6 linked regions of the Ovis aries genome follow. The protein of the gene in region 5 interacts with the protein of the main gene of each other region in a pairwise test. Links are inferred from orthologs where the notes say so. Each region holds a gene or a part of one and is shown on either strand. Other genes may lie near its edges. The genes, in order: BANP, FNDC3B, TBX6, ATXN1, TOX4 and ZMYND19.

Evidence for each region.
Region 1: the proteins of TOX4 (region 5) and BANP interact in binary tests that used the Homo sapiens proteins (3 or more experiments, as listed by UniProt). The two-hybrid records come from large-scale screens. The link is inferred for Ovis aries from reciprocal best matches to the Homo sapiens genes TOX4 and BANP.
Region 2: the proteins of TOX4 (region 5) and FNDC3B interact in binary tests that used the Homo sapiens proteins (3 or more experiments, as listed by UniProt). The two-hybrid records come from large-scale screens. The link is inferred for Ovis aries from reciprocal best matches to the Homo sapiens genes TOX4 and FNDC3B.
Region 3: the proteins of TOX4 (region 5) and TBX6 interact in binary tests that used the Homo sapiens proteins (3 or more experiments, as listed by UniProt). The link is inferred for Ovis aries from reciprocal best matches to the Homo sapiens genes TOX4 and TBX6.
Region 4: the proteins of TOX4 (region 5) and ATXN1 interact in binary tests that used the Homo sapiens proteins (3 or more experiments, as listed by UniProt). The link is inferred for Ovis aries from reciprocal best matches to the Homo sapiens genes TOX4 and ATXN1.
Region 6: the proteins of TOX4 (region 5) and ZMYND19 interact in binary tests that used the Homo sapiens proteins (3 or more experiments, as listed by UniProt). The two-hybrid records come from large-scale screens. The link is inferred for Ovis aries from reciprocal best matches to the Homo sapiens genes TOX4 and ZMYND19.

What each region holds. Positions count from the first base shown.
Region 1 is NC_056067.1:12,929,279-12,933,354, reverse strand, and holds the start of BANP (protein BANP), read right to left. Parts: upstream 2,801-4,076; 5' UTR 2,133-2,800; intron 1-2,132. UniProt on the Homo sapiens protein: Controls V(D)J recombination during T-cell development by repressing T-cell receptor (TCR) beta enhancer function. Binds to scaffold/matrix attachment region beta (S/MARbeta), an ATC-rich DNA sequence located upstream of the TCR beta enhancer.
Region 2 is NC_056054.1:215,866,093-215,869,592, reverse strand, and holds part of FNDC3B (fibronectin type III domain-containing protein 3B), read left to right. Parts: intron 1-770; coding exon 771-943; intron 944-3,421; coding exon 3,422-3,500. UniProt on the Homo sapiens protein: May be a positive regulator of adipogenesis.
Region 3 is NC_056077.1:26,714,251-26,717,059, reverse strand, and holds the end of TBX6 (T-box transcription factor TBX6), read right to left. Parts: intron 2,076-2,809; coding exon 2,002-2,075; intron 1,920-2,001; coding exon 1,736-1,919; intron 1,634-1,735; coding exon 1,429-1,633; 3' UTR 501-1,428; downstream 1-500. Other genes in the region: PPP4C (serine/threonine-protein phosphatase 4 catalytic subunit), read left to right, coding at 1-80, 172-301. UniProt on the Homo sapiens protein: T-box transcription factor that plays an essential role in the determination of the fate of axial stem cells: neural vs mesodermal. Acts in part by down-regulating, a specific enhancer (N1) of SOX2, to inhibit neural development.
Region 4 is NC_056073.1:39,589,978-39,594,062, reverse strand, and holds the start of ATXN1 (ataxin-1), read right to left. Parts: upstream 2,801-4,085; 5' UTR 2,520-2,800; intron 330-2,519; 5' UTR 220-329; intron 1-219. UniProt on the Homo sapiens protein: Chromatin-binding factor that repress Notch signaling in the absence of Notch intracellular domain by acting as a CBF1 corepressor. Binds to the HEY promoter and might assist, along with NCOR2, RBPJ-mediated repression. Binds RNA in vitro.
Region 5 is NC_056060.1:24,030,969-24,034,468, forward strand, and holds part of TOX4 (TOX high mobility group box family member 4), read right to left. Parts: intron 2,796-3,500; coding exon 2,553-2,795; intron 1,680-2,552; coding exon 1,419-1,679; intron 1,076-1,418; coding exon 845-1,075; intron 1-844. UniProt on the Homo sapiens protein: Transcription factor that modulates cell fate reprogramming from the somatic state to the pluripotent and neuronal fate. In liver, controls the expression of hormone-regulated gluconeogenic genes such as G6PC1 and PCK1.
Region 6 is NC_056056.1:398,259-402,275, reverse strand, and holds the start of ZMYND19 (zinc finger MYND domain-containing protein 19), read right to left. Parts: upstream 2,801-4,017; 5' UTR 2,659-2,800; coding exon 2,608-2,658; intron 2,072-2,607; exon of another isoform or gene 1,959-2,071; coding exon of another isoform or gene 1,953-1,958; intron 1,356-1,952; coding exon 1,296-1,355; intron 515-1,295; coding exon 408-514; intron 1-407. UniProt on the Homo sapiens protein: May be involved as a regulatory molecule in GPR24/MCH-R1 signaling.

The sequences.
Region 1 (4,076 bases), on a different chromosome or scaffold from region 5:
TCCAAACCAGGAGAGGGTGAGGGTTGTGCCTGCACATGGAAGTCAGGTCCCTGTACGAAGAGCTGTACAAGGGCCGTCCCTAGACCAAGTGGAGCAGCCCCCAGTCAAAGGCATCTTCCTTAAGCAGAGAGGCCCAGAGAAAATCTGCCTTCTGGCATTTGAGGTCCCAGCACAACAAAAAGTTCCCCAAAACCCAATAGGAAACCTGCACATTTTCAAAAGCAGTCCCACGGGGGAATTCCCTGGTGGTCCAGAGGTCAGGACACCATGCTTTCACTGCTATGGGCCCAGGTTCAATCCCTGGTTGAGGAACAAAAATTCCATAAGCCACCATGTGAGTGTGACCAAAAAATCAGCCCCCCAAACTCATGAGTTCTCTGCCTGCTTCCTCTGGCCTTAGACAACAATAATTCCAGTATTTGAAGAGTACTTGCCACACAAAGCAAGAAGCCCGTCTTTTTAAAAAGAGGAAAAGAACAGTGACACAACAGAACACAAGAAATCAGAGAACAAAAGGGAACCAAAAAAACCCTTACTAGTATCCCCAAAGTCAAGGAGAAAAATGCATTCATCAAACAATACATTATTATGAAAAAAGAACATTATAAATCCTTAGAAATTAAACTTTGATTGTGGAAATGAAAAATTTTTAAGTAGGACTGGAGGATAAATGTTTCTATCCCAGAAACAAGAATAAGATGACACAGGAAGAAGATAATGACAGAAGATTCAGAGGGTTAATCCAAGATGTCCATCATCAAACTAACAGAAACTCCTAAAACAGAAGAGTAAAAGCAGAGCTGGAGAAGGAAATAGCAACCCACTCCAGTATTCTTGCCTGGAGAGTCCCACGGACAGAGAAGCCTGGTAGGCTACAGTCCGTGGGGCCACAAGAGTCGGACAACTTAGCGACTAAACCACCACCAAAAGCAGAGCAGAAGACATTCTCAAATGACACAAGACTTTCAGATTCCAGAGCTGAAGGACAAGTCCCCAGAGTCAGAAAGCAGTCAGAGTAGGACTCTACACAGTTTTCGGGAATTCCGGAAATGTCTTAATACCAAAGAGGATCCTGAAGAGTTATCCAAAAGGAATAAGGCTACTTGGCAGTAGGTTCTCACTGAAATAAAGGAAGTCAAGATTAAAACACGAGACCTGAACAAACTCAGTTGTATATAGTAAAAAAAAAAATGTCAAGATGATACTGGTGCTGGTCTAAGGAGTAAACAATCCAGATTAGAAAAAGACCACCACAAGGCTGGGGAGAGGGGGATGGTAAGAGAGATTTAGTGCCATCCTTCAGAATCTAAAACAAGGTAAAGTGGGACTTCCCTAGCAGTCCAGTGGTTGAGACTCCATGCTTCCATTGCAGGGGGAACAGGTTCAATCCCCAGAGAACTAAGATCCCACATGCCTCGGGGAATAGTTAAAAAAATAATAAAAGGTAAAGAGTCAACAGGAACAAAAAGTGCAAAGAAAAAGAAAGGCCATCACAAACAACAGAAAAAAGCAAAAACCCGTATAACAGGGGAAATAGACTACCTAGCTGTGAATATCTGCTTAGTTATAAACAATCTGAACTGAACATAGTGATCAGGGGATAGAGGTGAGACGCGATATGAAAAAGTCAGTCATCCTATCTGTTAACAGCAAGTCAGGAATGTATAAAACCAGTAAAGTGCCAGCTTATTATTTATAGCAACGAAGAACTTCCTCATGAAACAGCAAAAATATAAAGTCTTGGAGGAGTGGAACTGGGAGGTGGGGTGGGGGCTGTTGTTTTATAGTCTTCCATTGACACTTTGCGGCATTACTTTATTAAAGTATCAAACGTGTGCAGTTTTTTCAGAACATGGACTTGGGACAGATCGCATTCAAACCTGGCCGTGTGACCCAGGGAAGCCCCTTCCCTCCGTGGGCCGCAGCCACCTCCCTGTCCCCCTGACCCGACCGCCGCGATGAGAAGCGCTGGAAACGCCGGCGGGACTGGCCGCAGCACTGGACCCACACACGGCATCAGCTTTCTCAAAATTGGAGCCGTGACAGGACCCGACGTCCCAGGAGGAAACGCTTATTTTAATCGCCAGACAAGGGGGGGCAAAGGAGCTTTAAACACACGGAGTTAACGTTACCGGCGGCTCGAAGATTCCGAGCACCGGGCAGGGGTCCCCAGGGCCGCTCCTCACTCGGGCCCGCCGCCCGCCCAGCGAGAACAGCCGCCTCCCGCACTTCCGCCCGCAGCCGCTGTCCCCGCGTCCGCGGCCGCCGGCCTCCCGGGGGGGAGCCGCCTAGCCGCCTGCCAGCCCGTGGCCTCACGACCCGGAGCGGCTACACCGCAGCAACAGCAGCGCGACCCCACCCCGCCCGCCCGCGGCCGGACGCTGCTCTTGCGGGCCTGGTCCCGGAAGGGAGGCCCGCTCCGCGACGGACCCCGCGCACCGCGACGGCGGGGGCGGCGGGCCGGGGGATGGGCGGCCGGAGCCAGGTGCGGGTGCGCTGAGGCGCGGCGGGCAGGCGGCTTGACAGGGCTGAGACGGGGGCGCACAGGACGGCGGGCCGTTGGGGCCGGTGGCCGTGTCGGGGGGGCGGGGGCGGCGGCGCGGGCGCCGCGGCCGGAGGAGGGCGCAGGGAGGAGGGAGGAGGGGAGATCTCGCTCTCGCTCTCGCCCCGCGGGAAGGGGGAGGTGGAGACGCGACCGGCTGCGGGAGCTGCAATTACCGTGTGGGCTGCGGAATTCTCGTGGTGTTTGTCGGGGAGATGCGATAATGGCGTCCGTCCTCGCGAGAGAAGCCGCCGCTCTGCGCAGGCGCCGCGAGTCCCTCCCCGCGGCCCTCCGCCCTGCACCATCTGCGCAGGCTCACCGGGAGGAGGAACGGGGACGGGGCAGGGCGCGAGGGCGGGGCCTGCTGCTCGGAATCTCCCGCCCGCGCTGGGCTGGCGCCGACGACCGCCGGGCATGCGCACGGGTCCTGCATCCTCGCCACAGATTGGCCTCCAAACTTCTTACTTCTCTGTCACGCGTTCAGGCTTCTCACTAGCCCCTGAAAAGTCGCGTTGGTGGACCGTTCGGGGAATTTGCATTTTCTTTGAGGCCTAATGAATAGGAATTAGCGCCATAGACGACTACATGTCCCGGAGGGCCCTGCGCAAGCCTCGAGCAGTGCATTCTGGGACTCGTGGTTCCTGCGTCTGCGCGAAGCCTGCTGGTACTTGTGGTCCCATCCCCCCCGACCCGTGCCAGCGCATGGAATGCTGGGACTTGTAGTTGAGGTGTGCAAGGCCGCTGCACCGGGCGCGGCTCTGGCCACTGCTGCAGCGGGGTTCCCCTGAGTAGCAGGCGAGCTCAGGGGTTCCCAGGTTCGTCACAGGTTCAAAGACACGCTCCTAGAAAAATATATATTAATTATATGTGATATATATTTTATGTGTAATTGATGTTATGTATTGTGATGTTTGTTATGTATCCTTAGAAAAGGCAGAGAGGAACCAGAGATCAAATTGCCAACATCTGTTGGATCATACAAAAAGCAAGAGAATTCCAGAAGAATATCTACTTCTCCTTCATTGTCTATGCTAAAACTTTTGACTGTGTGGATCACAACAAACTGGAAAATTCTTATTAAGTGACAGTGAAGTCCCTCAGTCGTGTCCGACTCTTTGCAACCCGTGGACTGTAGCCCACCAAGCTCCTCCGTCCATGGGATTCTCCAGGCAAGAATACTGGAGTGGGTTGCCATTTCCTTCTCCAGGGGATCTTCCCAACCCAGGGATGAAACCCAGCTCTCCCACATTGCCGGTAGACGCTTTAACCTCTGCACCACCAGGGAAGCCCTTAAATACAAGAATACAGTCTCTCAGAAAACCTCCTATAGAGACACAGAACTTCAGATCCAGGTACTAACATCAAAGATTTCAAGGGAGGAAAGGAAGCCAGGTTGAAAGAAGAAGGGGGAGGAGGCAGGAGAGGGGGGGACGAAAGGGGTGGCCTTACAGACATCTCCTGCCACCTACAGATGCCCAGGTATTATGGGACTTTTCCCTGGCCTCCAGAGAAGGGAGGACTGAAACTCGACCCT
Region 2 (3,500 bases), on a different chromosome or scaffold from region 5:
TCCACATTCTGTTTAATGTACGTGGGCTTGGGTTTGTGAACGCCCAGCCCTATGGCCCATCCTCCTGTTCCTGATGGTGCCGCAGGTGCTATTCACCCCCTGCCCTCAGAGGGTACTGTTCTAGAAAATGTTTCAGAGCAGGAATTCCCCAACTTTATTCATAAAATAAAAGTTGTGCTTAATAAAGAGGTTAAACCAAGAAACTCTTCATTAGGTAGCATATGTATCCTCCTCACCTTTACCACCCTGTCGTGTGTGGGTCCTGGTGTTTTACAGTCTCAGCTCAAGCTATGTTAGCATTTCCTGTCATATTAATGATTCACAGCATGTAAAATTGCAAATATAAACTTGCAGAACTCTGTTAGACTATTGTTCCCCATCACTTAATATCTAAATTAAGATGTTATGCCAGTTTGGGGTTCTCTAACTTGATTTAATATGTCCTTTGGTTTCAGGTTAAAAAGATTTTTCTCCCCTCTAATTCTTGTCTTTACCTTGCATTAGAATGTAAAGGAATTGCCTAAAAGTTCTATGGTTTTGGAATCATTTTGTTCATATCATTAAATGTGCTTGCTTTGAAAAGTATGGATAACATCATTAAGAAACTTTCTTTTGTATCTCTTTCTCTTTTTGAAGTGGGGGTTCTTTTGTAAATATCAAGGACAGGCTACCTACATGATATTTTGCAAACATCATAGAATGTAAGGTGTGATAGGGCCAACCAGAAATAATAAAAATGTTCTAAGATGAACAGCGTTCTCCATTCGCAGACGTTCCTGCCTCTGAAAGTGGCTGTGAGGTCTCGGAGTACAGCGTGGAGATGACAGAACCGGAGGATGTAGCTTCGGAGGTGTACCATGGGCCGGAGCTTGAGTGCACCGTGGGTAACCTGCTTCCAGGAACTGTGTATCGCTTCAGGGTGCGGGCTCTGAATGACGGAGGGGTGAGTACTTATCACGACAAAAGCATGAGGTCCTGGCACTTCCATTTCCACCCTCCTAAAATTCCTCATCTGTATCTGTCCAACGATGACAGCCATTAAAGAACTGTACGTAAAACCTTATTTCTGAAGAAACCCTGCTTTGGTTTCACGTAGACCCAGCATTGGAAATTTTGATTCTTTTGTCCTCCTGTTAAGACAGAGCTCAAAGTTAATAAGGACTTTGCCGTTTAGATGCCTTTTGGTGGTTTCTTAAAATAATTTCCTAGATAAATCACTTATGAGAAGTTAGAACTACATAATATTCCTTTACCATGTTGTCTAAATTACTCAGCAGTGTCTTAGGTGAGTTTTTAAAACTCCACTGGGGTATAGGCTAGGGAGACCAGCTTATTTGTTTTTTTTTTTTTAATTTCATAGAACTCTCTGGTCCTTTCTAGTACTCCATTTGAAGTTGTTGAGGTGGGCTATTCAAGATTGAAAGGGTCTGACTATATGCACGAAGGTGACTGGATTTTTTAATTGCAGAGTGATGTGGATTCATAGTGAGAATAAAGTGACCCAGAAACTATAGGGCTTTTTGGTGTGTCACAGATGGGCAGAAATGTAAAAGAAGGTGGAAGGGTGTGGGTAGGGCAAACTGCTGCTAACGCCCTACAGAGAGCCAATGAAGTGTATAAATGCATTCTGTACAAATAAATAGATGTAATTAATCAATGAGATTTTTGTAAGAAAGAAAGCCAAACGGACAGTGACAGGAAGTTGGCAATGACTTTTCTAGTTCTTGGTGTTCATTCATGCCTTTCAGAAGTGAAGTGTTTTTGTCTTTAGTCCATTTTGAGTTAGCCAGGCCTTAGTTTGAAAACATTTGGTCTGAAGTAGGATCACAAACCTTGAACAAGAGCTGGATCTCTTCTAATTCACCATTAGGAAAGAATTTCAGATACAGGTATTTACATTTAAAAAAAAAAACACACACACAAAACTAGACAATTAAAATGTATTGGTGAGAGATAAGAAAGCCTCTGTACCCTGACTTTTTATAAGTAAAAAGAGGATGGATGGTGATAATCACCCATACTGCAGATGAAACTCTGGTGCTTTTCCCCTTCAACTTTTGAAGAAGATATTCGCCATGATAAAGACACATGTGCAGCTGGACTGATTGGGGTTTACTTTCTCCTTTTACTAATTTGTCATTTAAAGAAACTATCTCAGCCTTATTTTTAAATCCTGTTATATTGAATTTGAACCATATATTTGACTTGTGGTCCTCTTCTGTGGTCTACTCCAGACAGTTTCTCCCCCACCTTCAGTATATTTGCAAGTTATATTAGAAAATGTCAAAGACTTTTTTTCTTTATGTTTTTTCCTCCATTTTGAAAAACACAGTCATATTCCTCATTCAGTTCAGTTCAGTTTAGTTGCTCAGTTGTGTCCAACTCTTTGTGACCCCATGAAACACAGCATACCAGGCCTCCCTGTTCATCAGCAACTCCCAGAGTCTACTCAGACTCAGGTCCATCAAGTCGATGATGCCATCCAGCCATCTCATCCTCTGTCATCCCCTTCTCCTCCTCCCCCCAATCCCTCCCAGCATCAGGGTCTTTTCCAATGAGGCAACTCTTCGCATGAGGTGGCCAAAGTATTGGAGTTTCAGCGTTAGCATCAGTCCTTCCAATGAACACCCAGGACTAGTCTCCTTTACGATGGACTGGTTGGACTTCCTCATTAGCCTGAAAATTACTTTACTCTTTGCCCCAGTTCTTTTAAGTACCACATATTCCACCTTAACGTGGGGGTTCTGGTCCTCTCGATGCATTTTACGTCTATAGAGATGATTGTCTCTGAGCAGTGTGACCGCTGATGGTGGAGGAGGAGAGAATGCAGTATAAAGCTGCAGATAGTTGAGATGGTGGGCCTGCCAAGCAAACATTAATAGGACTGTTGGTTTCAAATTGAAAAATACCAGTGACTAGAAGAAATACTCAAAATTTGATAACCAACAATTCCACACAGATTTTTAGGCCTTAAGCTACAGTATGCATCTGACTTGGTTTAGTTTGAAATGCCCTGAGAAATTAAAGCACAATGCTGTGATGTAGCAAAAGTCAGCATTTTTTATTTCTTAGGTCACAGCAAAAATGTATAATAAACCAACTTTCTAATCCTTTAGAATTAAAAAAATTTTATATATATATATATATATATATAAAATAGACATTTACCACTCAAGTAATGTATGTGGGAAGAAAATCTACTCATGTAATTGAAAGTGAACACCATTAAGTAATGCTTTTAATCAGTTGTATTGATGATACCATTAGCCTAGCCCTTGTTTGGTTATAAGCTTGTGTTATATGCACACACACACAAACACACACACTCCTTGTTTGGTATAAGCTTGTGTTGTGTGCACACACACACGCACGCACATCCCTAACACACCCCTACAAGCACATGTGTGTTTCTCTCTTGCAGTATGGTCCCTATTCTGATGTCTCAGAAATTACCACTGCTGCAGGGCCTCCTGGACAGTGCAAAGCACCTTGTATCTCTT
Region 3 (2,809 bases), on a different chromosome or scaffold from region 5:
CAACTGGTGATGGAAGGTTACAAGTGGCACTTCAACGAGACTGTACTCACTGTGTGGTCGGCACCCAACTACTGCTACCGGTGAGCTGCCTGGGCTGGGGAGGTTGAGGTAGGGATCCAGGCTGAGCCACGCTGTTAACACTGCTGCCCCCGCCTTCCCCCCGACTTCCAGCTGTGGGAATGTGGCAGCCATCTTGGAGCTGGATGAGCATCTCCAGAAAGATTTCATCATCTTCGAGGCCGCTCCCCAAGAGACACGGGGCATCCCCTCCAAAAAGCCTGTGGCCGACTACTTCCTGTGACCCCTTCGGCCCTGCCCCCCTCCGGCCCCCGGACCACTGTGACTCTGCCCTCTTCAGACGGAGGCTGGGCATGGGGGGGGCTGTCCCCGGCTTTGCTCTCCCTGCAACAGAGGGCACTTCGAGGGTGAGGACTTTTCTGGAGAGGCTGGGAGCCTCAGTTCCATGCTCCTCCTCCCGTCTCCCCACTTGAACCATGAAGTTTCCAATAATTTTGGTTTTCTTTTTTTCCTTCTTTTTTTTTTTTTGGTTTGTTTTTAGATAAAAATTTTGAGAAAACAAAAAAAAAAGAAAAAAATTCTAATAAAAGAAGAAAAATGGTCTTTCGGTTGGTGTTGACTGGGTATGAGCAGTGGTACCGGCCTTGGACCTGGGATTTATATCAGGACTTTGATGCCCCAGAACCCTAATCCTGCCAGCAAGGTGAGGCTCAGGCCGGTTAGCTTGCCCAGAGCCTCCTGGTCCCCATCCAGTGACAGTGATCACTGCTGGGGGTTTCCTGAGTGCCAGGGAGAGGGCTGGGTTCTCGGGCAGCCCTGTTTAATTCTCAGAATGTCATGTCAAGACAGATTCCTCCATCTTCCTGAAGAGGAAGCAGACCCTGAGCATTGACTTAGTTAGATTCACAAGGTCAAGCAGCTGGAAATGACAAGTCTTGATTGGGGCCTGCGTCTCCTCACAAAACCTCTGCTCAACCAGCCCCACTCAGGGCCAAAGACCATAGTGTTTCCAGAGCACTGACGTCTTTCGAGTTTTATTAACAAAAATACTCTGGACCTGAGAACAGACCCGTGTGGCTCGCCCTGGGGAGGGGGTAGGACTTGTAGAGCCCAAGGGTGAGGCTGGGGGTGGGAGTGCTGGTCCCAGGCCCCATTTGGCCAGGCAGAGCCCCTCCATTCACACCGAGGTGAGAGCCTGGAAGGGGAAGCTGGCCCCAGCTGGACTCCCAGCGGCTTAGCCAGAGCTTTGAAGCCAGAGGGGGTGGGAGTGAAATCAAAGTGTGAAGTGGGGTGGGGGAGGCCCAAGGCAGCCATTTGGTGTGGGGGAGGGGGTAGTGGAAGTGAGGGGGCAACAGGCCTGGGGGAAGGGAACTGGAAGATGGGGAGGGAGGCAGGGGGCTTAGCAAAGGCTCAGTACATTGGTTTGGAGCCCACATCCAGGTAAGCTCCAGGCCCAGGGTAGGGCAGTGGGAAGGGGCCCCCTTGGAGGAAGTGCGAGGCAAAGGATGCTGAGGGTGCTGCTGCTGGGTATCCTGAGCCTGCTGGCCCGGGCTGCAGCTCCAGGAAGGCGGCTGAGTAGGGGGCTGGGCGCCCAGAGTCTGGAGCCTCCGGGAAGCTGGGATTCCCGAAGAGCGGAGAGGTATCAGGACAGGGGAGAGGGGACCACCCCCTCGTCTCAGCCTGGAACAGCCCAGCCCTGTGCCGCTGACCCACTCACCTGATTGGAAGGTGACTGGGGGCCCCGTGGAAAGCGGCAGGGTGCAGCAGGTAGGCCTCAGCACTGGGGCCACTGCAGGGAGGAGCTGGGGCAGGGGCAGCTTCCCCAGGCACTGGGGCCTGCTCTGGATCTGACTCCCGAACATCCCCACCCAGTGTGGAATCACAGGGACCACCTGGAGCATCTGGGGAGACAGAAGGGCCAGAGCGGGTTAAGGAGGATCGGCATCTCAGGCCTGGTCCCATCACCTCTGGAATGACACTCACCTCCACTCCCATAGCCTGCTGTGGCTGCCGGCTCTGGGCCCCGCAGTTTCCTCTTCACACGGGCGTCTCGCTCCCTGGGGGACAGTGATGATGATGGTGATGATGATAATGGTGATGATGATGGTAATAATGGCACTTACCAGGTGCCAGGCACTTCACCCAGGGACCCTATCAGGTAGGTGCCATTATTATACCCATTTTACAGAAAAAGGAATAGAAGGACAGAGAATTAAATGACTGGAAAACAGTAGTTGCTTAGTTGCTAAGTTGTATTGGACTCTCTTGTGACCCCATGGATTGTAGCCCGCCAGGCTCCTCTGTCCATGGGATTGCCCGGGCAAGAATACTGAAGTGTGTTGCCATGTCCTTCTCCAGGGGATCTTCCTGATCCAGGGATCAAATTCACATCTGCATTGGCAGGCAGGTTCTTTCCACTGGGCTACCCTGATAACTTGTCAAGAGCGATACTGTTACATTTATCATATTCATCAGGGTGATCCTTAAGTTAATATCTCTCTCTTCTGCCTGATTCTAAGTGTCTTGAGGGCAAGGGCCAGCTCTGAGGGGTTAGGGTTAGTTAGAAGAAGCTAATGTCCTAACCAAAACTTTACAGCCCACCATAATCTGGCTCCTATTACCTCTCACTCCACACCAGCCATACTGTAGCATGCTCCTACCCCAGGCCCCTGGCATGTTCCCAGATACTCACATGGTTCCCTTCCATACTTCCTCCGAGTCTTCTCAAATGTCCTCTTAGTGAGGCCTTTCCAGGACTCATCTCTCCAGTCCTGATCTTTTTGCTTTCTTT
Region 4 (4,085 bases), on a different chromosome or scaffold from region 5:
GCTGGTGGAAACACTGACAGTTCTTTAACCATGGTATTATAAGGAGAGTGGTAGCCTATATATATCATTTAAAAATCTGAGCAAACCATAGCGTGCTTACAAAACCAATATGCTTTCCTTAGACTGCACTTCCAAATAAAGCTGAGAGACCAGAAAAGTAAAATAAACTAAAAACAAAAGTGAAAACCACTCACACAATAGACTCTGAGGTCAACTCACCACACCCAAACTGAAGTCACTGGGCTCTGTCCTTGGCATGGAGACTCTTAAAAGACATGCTTCTGAATCAGCTTTCTTGACCCTCCACCAGACTGTAGCAGCACAGGCTTCTGGGTAATGAAAGTGACATCAGCAATGGTCAAGAGTGAAATTAAAATCATTGTGTTTAAACATCTGCTGACAGTTTATGACTTAATAGTACACATATTAGGCAATTTTAAATAAGATTCTGTCTACAGTGAAAACAAAAACAAGTGCTTTAGCATAGGTCTGTACTGTCCAATATGATTGTTAAGCACTTGAGATGGGCTGTAATTGTAAAATATACCTTGGATTTTAAAGACTTAGAACATGTACATACATGCACATATATACACATAAGTTCATATAGTATCTCAATGTTTATATTGATCAAATGTTAAAATGAAAATATTCTACATATATTAGGTTACATAAAAATATTGTTAAAATTAACTTACCTGTTTCTTTTTACATTTTAGTGTGCCTACTATAAGATTTACAATGACATGTGTCCATTATGCTTCTAATGCACAGCACTAGTAAAGTCAGTGGGGCTGGGGAGGTGCAGGAATTAGTTCTAAGAACCATAATTGGAGATCTTATTGCAGTAGTGTAGTAGGTGATTTGGTTACTTTTCTACCTTCCTGAGATTCCCCCCTTGCAGTGTATAACACTGCCCTTGAAAAGTGAGTGTTAGTCACTCAGTCATGTCTGACTCTTTGGGACCCCACGAACTGTAGCCTGCCAGGCTCCCCTGTCCATGGAATTCTCCAGGCAAGAATACTGGAGTGGGTTGCCATTCCCTTCTCCAGAGGATCTTCCTGACCCAGGGATTGAACCCAGGTCTCCTGCATTGTGGGCAGATTCTTTACCAACTGAGTCACCTGGGAAGCCCAACATGCACTTTACCCCTTATTAAAATATCTCTGAGAGTAAGCTGTTGGTAAAGGCATAATCCTGAGATATGCTAGGCTTAAAATTTGTTAGGCTTTATGTTAGACTAAAAATTTGTTAAGAGTCAGTCTCTCAGGGTGGGGTAGGGACAGGCTTCAGATACTTTGCCACCCTGGGAAGCTGATGGAAAACTCGTTCTGTGTTTTAGAAAGCACACGCTTTCTGGAGTGACAGCTGAATGGTTGAGGGTGACATCTTTTAATAAGAAATGGCTTTAGGCCATTTAGGTGTGGATAATGAAAAGTATACAGTTACTGCTTCCCTAGAAAACAAATCAAAGCCAAAAGGAAATCTGTGGGTTTTTTTTTAAACAATTTCTAATATATTTACTACAATAGCATATGTCAAAAGGAAATGAGATGAATTTTAACCATTACCATTTATTTTGCAAGCAAGACCTAGATACATTTTCATCAATATAACTATTATCAACATTGAATGTACTGCAGTGACTTATAAAATAACAGAATTTGTGGTTTTATGCATCTATAGAACATAGCTCTTCTTACATGAAATTGAACAACATTTTAAGGCTCAGAATGAGTGAGTTGAACTTTGCTCAGTATTGGCCAGGAGCATTTGGAAATCTATTAAAAACACGTCATTAACAACTTGGCATTTTGTTTCCTCAAAAGAAATACATTTTCCAAATTAAAACCAAAGCCCAAAGCCACCATTGTTTACACTTAAGATAGAGGCAGTTGATGGGTTGTGAAGGTAAAGCTTGTGGTGCCTTCAAACTAAGATCAGGGACAATGATAGCCATCAAATTGTTATTCTGACTTCAAGACATTAAAATACATAGCTATAAGCTCTCACCGTGCCTTTGTTTTTCTTGAGTCAGTTTTGGCTAGGAAAAGCTGATCCAAATGCAGGTCAGAGTTTAAGACAATTATTTTATGAGGAATTTACCAAGTTTACCCCAAAGAGGAAGAGCCAGAGAAAAATGCATTGGCAAACTTTGCCTTTTGACATAAACAACTAGAGGAAACTGTCCGTGTCAGGATTTCAGCAGGGTTTGTCAGGCAGTTTGTTATTTGCAGAAGCCCTGTGCTTCAGGGCCGCTCCAGAGTTTAACTGCTGGGTAACTTTGGGGAGCTCTCAAGACTGACCACTGAAGATCCAAATTTGCTTTGCGCCCTGGCACTGACATGGAGCGATTGCTCCTGCTATCCATGCTGACCGAGCAGACTAATAGCACTCAGACTTCAACTGTAAATTACAAACAATCCCTTTTTAAGTACAAAAATGAACGCACAGAATGGAGGACCCTGTCAGCTAGAATGCCAGTAAATCAAGCAGAAAAAGACAAACGGTTCACTTACACCACTTACAGCCAGATTCTTGTTCTGCTAGCCATACTGTCATGGGAGAACTTTTCTTTTTCTGTCAGATAAAAAGAGAAATTAATACCCCCATTGTAATTCTAATCAACATGCCAGCCATCAACGGAGGCATCTCCTCTGAAAGCCGATCAAGCTTCAAGGTGATGCTTCCCAACCCCTCCCCCTATCTCTGGTTTAAAACTTGTAGCTGAAATACCAATAGTAAGACCATGTGACCCCAGCACTCCCAGCGCCAGCTTTTCTGCAGTCAATTTCATAATGACTTCGCTCCGCCTCTCAGCTCAGCACTTCCTTCCCCCTCACTCCTCTCGCCCCCACCCCCAGCAATGAATCATCGCGCATTTAAAGAGACTTAGATGACCCAGCGTGAACTTTACTGGCATCCTGTACATTCTTATGCCAAAAAAGGGAGTTGCTCTGTGGCAGAAACCTCGCCAGATCCCAGTGCTGATCTGAGAGGCAGCGAGATTGGGAGCTTATCTAGGAAGATCAGTGAGGAGTTAATTTTCCTAGATCCTGGTGGTGATTCAGAATTGCCTATCTCAGTTCACGATCAGGTTTTTAAGAATCCAGTTGAGCTCTCTGTGCAGAAAGGAATATATCAGAGAAAAAAATGTTGGCACATCTCCTTTATGCAATCAGGGCAGAGGAATTTATACCACATCAGCCTTTTGATTTCTTCGGATCTGGCTGAGGGCGGGGTTTCCATATTTGTGCTTTGGCAAATGTGTCCAAGAACGAACTCCCCCTTAGAGATGCTCCTAGTGTTCTTTCAGGTTACTGTGAGCTGATTTGTGCATTTATCAAAACCAGAAACATCTCTGCCCCTTCCTTTCTTTAATACCATTTCTTAGTAACAGAGATTAAGCAGACAATCTGGGCCTTCCTTACAGAGACTCTTCACCCTACTTAAGGCATAAAGGGTGGATCGCCTAAATAACATTGTGCTTTTCCATATACTTTCTCCCTACCTGGGAAGCCCTTCTTTGCAGGGCAATTTTTATTCCCATCCTCCAGGATCCAACCCAAGCACCAACATTTCTGCGAAGTCTTTCCTGATTATCACAGGAGTTTGTGGTTCTGCCCAATGTGTGAGTCAGCGAAGTGCTATTTTCTTATTCTTTTTATTTATACAATTTTTTTTTAACTCTGACAGAAAAGAAAAAAATCAGGGCCGTAAGCACAGATGGAAAGAGTCTCCTAAATGAGAGCGTCTCTTATCTAATATTTCCTGTTACTCCCAAACCCGTCTGACCTCCACTTACAATTTCACATGTCACTGTTTTCCTTTTATCGCTCCGTTTATGTGGCACCCCTCACTAGTCAGTTCTCCGTGAGAGTTCCCATTGTTGTGGGTTGAATTTTGTTCCCGGAGAGATACATCTAGTCCCCAGTGCAGGGAGTATGGCTTTATTTGGAAATAGAGTCTCTCCACATAGATGGCGCTAGTGATTAAAAAAAAAAAAAAACCCCACCTACAATGCAGAAGACACCAGAGACGCTGGTTCAACCCTCCCTGGGTTGGGAAGATCTGCTGGAGGAGGG
Region 5 (3,500 bases):
CCAGGAAAACCACCTAACCAATTTACAGAATCATAATAAGTAATAAATTACTTCTGTCTTAAGCTACTAAATTTGTGGTGGTTTACTGAGCAACACATAACTGATATAAATTACCTGTAATATATTCAGTTTTTGTTTTAATGATTAAGTAGCAGACTTACTTTGATATAACACCTGTTGAGGCTAGGGTAATGATAATTACATTCATCTTTCATTTCAATTGTATATTTATGTAGTAACACAATTTTCATCTGTTTAATTCAGGTTAAATTTAGGGAGGTTAACTATAGTTCTCAAGTTTATATGAGGCCAATGAAAAACTCCAAACTTGGCTGTGGATTCAGTGTTTTTTATAATAATTTTTATGTAGGTATTCTGGATTCAGGGTATGGCTGCAATTTTTAAGGCTGCTGCTAAGTCACTTCAGTCGTGTCTGACTCTGTGCAACCCCACAGACAGCAGCCCACCAGGCTCCTCCGTCCCTTGGATTCTCCAGGCAAGAACACTGGAGTGGGTTGCCATTTGCTTCTCCAATGCATGAAAGTGAAGTTTTAAGACAGATGATCTTGAATCCCATTAACAAAGAGTTGGTATTAAATAACATCTGAGAAAGTTAAAGCTTAGGTTTAATCCCCTTGCCTTTTTTTTTTAACCAATTTTTAAAAAGTTATTTTGCTGCACCAGGTCTTAGTAGCGGCATGTGGGGCCTAGTTCCCTGACCAGGGATTGAACCTGGGTCCACTGCATCTGAAGCGTGGAGTCTTAGCCACTGGACCAGCATGGAAGTCCCTATCCCCCTTATTCTTAAGAACTTCTATAACATTGTTCCTCGTTATTTGCTCACCTGTTTTTGCTCTTCTCCAAGACTGTCCCACATAGAAGCAACAATTTTTGAAACCTCTCCAAAAGTGGCATTGGGATTCTGTCCCTTGATGGCAGCCTGTGTGTCACGAAAGAATAAAGCATATGCTGAAACTGGTTTTTGAGGTTCATTAGGATCTTTCTTTTTTCTCTTCTTTGGAGCCTTCTGCTTTTTCCCTGCTTCCACCACAACTGTCTTCTGGCTGGGAGGTTGCTGTGAGGAGAAAAGAGACAGAATTATGAGGGAAGTATCACATCTGGAGAACTGACAGAAAAGGACTTTTAGATGGGGTAAACTAGTCATATGAATGGAATTTTCAGAAATGCTAAATAAAAACAGAGGCAAGAAGATTAAGGCTTTAGTAAAGTATGTGAAGACTGATAAGTATGGGGGTTGGAAAAAGCATTATAAACTGTAATAGAGGCAGGACCCCATAACCAGAAAAGAGCAGAGAAGATGGCAGGGCAGTAGGAGAGAAAACTTAGTTGGATCTATATGTCAAGGGTTTTATCCCAGTGTAACATGGCAGATTTGATTTTGGCAGAGAATGCCTTACCCTCCGGAATTCCTCAACACCATCCTCATGAAGTGAACCTGTAGGTGAAGGGGTGGTTGAAAGACGATCCTCAGGTGACTGGGCAGGTGGCAGGATGGTGCCACCCCCTAAGCTCAGACCAAGTTGAGAACTCAGTTCTGACTGATCAATGGTGGTCAACTGGCTATGCCCCATCAAGCCAGATGTCATGTCTGTCATTGGTACATCAATTGTAACCGGTGGGTTGGCACTATACTGAGTTCCTATAGAATGATCCAAGTCCTGAGAGAAGCAGAAGGACAAATTAAACAGTAAATATAAAAAACACCACCTTTCCCGTCCCTGCACCTGAATTCAGGACAGTTTATAAACCCTCTGCTTACCCAGAATGCATCATCATTTAAACTAACATCAAATAATTTATCTACATATAAAACATACTAAGCTTTTTAATAAGTAGAGAAATTACAGGTTGTGTACTAAGTCACTTATTTGTACTTAAAGGCCTATTCCAAAATAACTAAAAACAGCCAAAGAAGTCTTAATTTGGGGCAAGTTCAGAGCAAGTAAATCATTCAGTAATCTGGAGATAGTGATGACACACAGGGGAAAGAAAAACTTTATCCCTGTACCCTCTTAAATAATGGCTGGGTAAAGTTCGATGCACAGGCAAATCAGAGTAAAGCCAATGTTAGAAGAGATGTCTGGCATCAAGTGTAGTGTGTGTCGACGTGCTGATGAGATGTGCTAGAAGCCCAATACACTGAAACACATATTAATCCTCTTAATCCACTCATGGTTCAGACAGGTTTTGAATACACCCCTCAACATACCAACAATCATACTCATTTGAACTGTAGAATGTGAAAGCCATAATGTAATAGGGAAAAAACTTTTCTTTCAAAAATCCAATAAATAATTTTCATTTCAGGGTTAACACTGGACATTTTACAGTTTTAAAACATGTTTTTTAAAAAAATTGATTCAAATGATAAATCTCACTTATTCAAGGGAAGTGAGGTCTTTATTAGCCTTTAGTCAGAAGAATGAAAAATAATACCCAAGGGAATTAGGTAGGGCATACAGAGTCACTTGTATCTCCCCTAACACCATGCCCATGAGGTTGGGTAAGCCTGATAATGTCTTGCCCCTTACCATGGTCAAGCCCCCACTCAGGAGCCCCCCGCCCTGCTCCATTAAGCCATGGGTCATGCCCACAGGCATGTCCAACGTCTGGACCCCATACTGGGCTGAAAAGCTGCCATCCTGAGAGGAGGAAGGGTCTGCCAGGTCATCAAAGTGGCCAACCACATCTGAGACAGCCAATGAGGGATCAGAATCCAAGGAGATAGGTGGGATTTCAAATTCCTCATCACCCAGGCTTGGTGTGTGGAACGTCTGTAGGGAGGGAAAAAAGGAAAAAGATTTAGTGGAAAGAGGAGGAGTTGCATACTGCTAGAAGAACGTGCCTGAGTACTAGACATTCTTAGTGTACTTCTTTTCAGCCTGGATCCCATTTTTGTTATCAATATCTTAGGACTTATTTAATTTTAAAAATAAGTCTCTTCTTCCTCATATCTTTGGCCGTATGTCATGTACAAAGCTGCCAATATCAAAATCACAGTTTTCAATTCACGTATCTCTCTTCTGCCTTTATCATCTTGGTTGTCCTAAACTATTTTGCCTGTTGGTCTAATGAATGATTCTTTCAGCACCATTAATAATGACTCAACCTTTATAACCTATTTTGTTATGATGCTTAAAATCTGTCTGAAGATTCTAGGATACAGCAATTATTTCATAATTACTACACCTGAACTGTTAGACCACAGAAATTCACCGTCAACCAGACAATTAGACTTTGTTGTTTTAGGGTCCTCTGAAGCAAATCCTAAAAGGAACTGTCACGGGGACCTTATGCACTTCTAAAATATATGCACTTGAGAGTTTCCTACCTCTTTTCTGTTTTAGAAATCATGATTTGTACAAAATTCCTATATGTATAGGATTTTCAGAAAACCCAACAATGCCAACCAAAATAAGGATAACAGTGAGGAGAAAAACCTTCATAAGAGATATAGCCAGAGGGCAAACTGGTTCTCT
Region 6 (4,017 bases), on a different chromosome or scaffold from region 5:
GCCCCAAGCCACCTCGCACACAGCCTGGGGGACACCGCTGAGTGGGCCCAAGCACTCCGGAACCTCAGCGTTCACACAGAAGGGAGGACGGCTCTTCCCCGTGCCCCACCGCCAAGCTCAAAGGGACCTAGAAGGGGCCAGACTCCACCCGCCTCCAGAGGCGCTGTGGCCCGAGTGCTGGGAGCAGGAAGGGCACATGGCCTACAGACTCTCAGGCCACCCTGCCAGCGCCAGGGGACGCAGAGCAGCCATCCTTCCAGGCAGGGGCAATGACAAAGACGTGACTGGGAGGCCTGGGCAAGGTATCATCTGTCGACGAGGCAGAAGGGCCTCTGGCTGCCCAAGCCCCTCGCACCGCAAGGCTGGTGCTAACCCAGAAAGGGAAGCAGCAGCTTGGAAACACCTACCACAGCAGCTCATGAAGGAGCCGTCCCGACCCCCTCCCTCGGTTTTTGTCAAAGGCATATGCAAATATCTTAGCACCATTTCCATCTGCGTCTACTTCCATCCGGGCCTGAGAAGAAACAAGAAAAAGCTCTGTTAAAAAGCCTGCAATTCTCCACAACATTCCAAATTCCTCTTAGAAAAACGAAGGAAACAAGCCAGAGGGACAAAGGCCAGGCCTGTTCCTGGGACCTTGGTGGTCTCTGGAGGCTTCCAGACACGTGGCACGGAGAAGTACCCGCCTACATGAAGGCAAGACACACTTAAGAACCACTCTTTGCAAAATACTGTGGACGTGGACACAGGGAAATAAATCTCCCTACCCTTAAAAAAAAAAGTCCCTAATCCAGTAAAAAAAAGGTAAGCCCTGGAACAAGCAAGCATAAAAGGGTGAAGGGTGAGACAGGAGTGGGCTGGGTCTACAGGGTGGAGGGAGGAGCAGGCAGGTGAGGACTGGAGCCCAAACAGCCAGGTAAGAACAAAGGCACCGGGCCCTGCAGGAGGCCGAGGCTGGAGAGGAGGTGGGGCAGTCCTGGACAGTCTCCCTGGGCACAGCAGTTTATCCGACTGAACTCAATCACAGACATGGCACCATTTGTCTCTTTTTTGGGAAGAGCCTGCAAGCAACGTGGAAGTGAGAAAGACAGCAAGCATCACGGAGGCGGTGGGGGGGGGGGGTCCACACTGACAGACAGGTTCCCTGGAGACCAGGGTTCTGGACAGGGCTTCACCCGCCTGCTTGAGCAGCTCACATGCAAGGGCCTGCCTCACGTCACAGGGGTGAAGACCTACCCCTCATGACCCCCCTTGGCACGACCGTAGGCAGGCCAGCAAAGGAGCAGAATCCTTACCTCGAACGAGTAGCCCTCCACCAGCGGGATGTCCTGCTCATCTATCAGCGTATACTTGGTCTGGAAATTAACGTTTGAAGACGTCACATTTGGAATCAGCACAGGGCACTAACAGTAGGCAGGAGCAGCCCTCACGGGCTCAGAGCGGCCAATCCACCCTGAAGGCAGGCAGATGTGCCAAAGGCCGCTCTCTCCCCACTTAGCACAGCGCACAGCTGTGGCGCCAGGCCCCACCTGCCGTCTGCTCACGACTAGCCATGAGAAGTGCCTGAGAACTAACTGCTCATCCACTAAGCTGTGCGTGTCAATGTGTCCATAAGCCCAGTCCGAGACCACGGTGTCACAAGAATAGAGGCAGGGCCCCGGGATTGAAGCAGAATATCTGGAAGGTTCCAACCATCAGGCAGGCGGCACACAGGTGCTCATGGAACTGTCCCTCCTATCTCTTCGTCTAACACGTTCCAAGTAAAAGTTTTAAAGGATGGCATTACTGCAGACAACCGCTGAGTTGCAGAGATCGCAAGGCTAATAAGGAGCCCACCCTTCCGTAGTTAGAAAGTGACTGCCCTTTGCGGGAGGGCAGGAAACGGTCCCCGAAATGGACCAGTCTCACTTTCGCTTGGAGAGCTTTTTACTAGTTATCTGAACCGGCTTTACCTTCATCTGACTGCCTCTGCTCCTCTCTCCCACCAGAAGCTTCCGCCGCTGGTGATGGGAACAGGGTTCCCATCCAGGGTAAGGTCCGTGGCTGGTTCAGCTGCACGGCCGGCCGGCTCCTGGAAACAGCCAAGCCTCAATGCCCACAGGTGCCAGGAAGCCCCAGCCTCGAACACGCGGAGGGCGGGGCCCGGTAAGGGAGAGAAGCAGAGGGAGGCCCCGCTCGGCCGAGGCCAACTGAGGCTCAGCCCGACGGGGCCGCCGCGAGCAGCCCGAGCCCTGCGCGAAGCTCACTACGGACCCGCAGGGGCCGCCGGAGACCGAGCGCGCTGCCCCGGAAGGGCCTGCGCTCCCCGCGGCCGCAGGCACAGCCGCAGCCCTCGACCCACGGCGCACGGCCGGAGCCGGCACTGGACCAAAGCTGCCCCAGGAACCAGGCCGCCGGCGAACCTAGGGCCTGTGCCCGTGCGTCCCGCCGCGCTGGCCGGGCCCTGCGCCCCCAGCCTCGCACCCCCGACGCCGACTCCGACTCCCAGCCCGCGCCCGCGCCCCCCAGCGCCGCTCAGCCCCTAGCCTCACCCCAGCCCCGGCCCTCGGCCCCGGCCCGGCGCCCCACGCCTCCCGCCCGACGCCGGCCCCAGGCCGCGCCGCGCACCTTTCCGGCCACCCGGCCGAGCCGCACGATGCCCAATTTGAAGTCGGTCATGGCCGGGCCTGCGCTCGGCCGGCGGCGCCGCTCCCTCGGGAGGTGCCGGGGCGGGGCCGCGGCGCGCCGGGCGGGCGAGTGGGGGCCGGGAACGGGGCCAGGCGGGCGGGCGGGCGGGACGAGGCTGGGCCGGGGTCGGGCCGCCGCCGCCGGGCGCCCGCCGGACCTGCCACGCGCCGCCGCCGCCGCCGCCGCCACCACCGCCGCGCGCACCTCCGCGAGCGGAGCCAGGGGCGGGGCGCGCGGCGGACACACCCCCGCCCGCCGCCGCCTGGCCAATCGCGCGGCGCGCAGGGCGCCGGCCGGCGCGCGCCGCCACGCCGCAGCCAGTGGCGGGAGGGCGAGTGCGCAGGCGCGTTGGGGCGCGGCGAGCGCGCCGGGGAGGGGCGCGGCCGGGGGCGGAGCCTGCGCGGCCGCCCGGCGCTACGTCAGTTTCGCGGGAAGCTTTGTGCGGGAGGGTGCGCCACCCGCTCGCAGCGCAGACCCCCGAGCCCGGCCTCGGCCCGCGCAACGGGCGGTTTGGCTGGGCACCCTGGGCCGTCCGGGCCCTGCAGGTCGGGGCTGGCTGCGGCTCCCTGTGACTAGTCCCTGGACAGAGGGCTGGAGGCCGGGGTGGATTCGCGGATCCGGAGTCCCGGGGCCCGTATGACTCCGTGGCTGGGTCCAGTGCCCTCGGAACGTGGGAGCCCAGCGAGCGCTGTTGGCTGACCGGGAACTGCGCCCGCCCTTCTCCCTGGCCGCCTCCGCGCATGGGCCGGGATCAGGATCCCATAGCCCATGCCTGTGCGACACGATCCTTCCCTGGGCTTCGAGAAGGGGCGCTGAAAAGCCTGCTCCAAATCCTTCCCGAACAGGAACTCCCAGACCTGACGATTCGGGGTCGGGGGTTGGGGGTATACCTGTCTCCTGGCAACCACTCCAAATGGCTCTCGCTCCCAACCCCCAATGAAACCGCTCTACACCGGTGCACCAAGCAAACCCCTGCTCCTGTTCTAGCGAGGGAGGCAGAAAAGGCCCATGACCAGCGAGTTACTCGCCTTGTTAGAAAGTGATCAACGCTGTGGGGAAACGAGTAGACCAGCATCAGGGAGTTGGAGGCCCCGGGAAAGTGGAGGCGGGGTAGATCTCACTGCCAAGTAACCTGAGCAAACTGGGGGGGAGAGAGCGGGTGAGCTCTGCGGGCTCCAGGGGAACAGCATCCCCAGCAGCGGGGAGAGCCCAGTGCCAAGGCCCTAATCTGGCCCCAGCTGGGCGTTTTTGAAAAGCGGAGGCGGTCTCTGTGAGCCAATGAACGCATCAGAGCAACAGGGCACATGGCCAGAGAGGTGGAGGTTGGGAAGGGTGTGGGGTCTGGGGAGC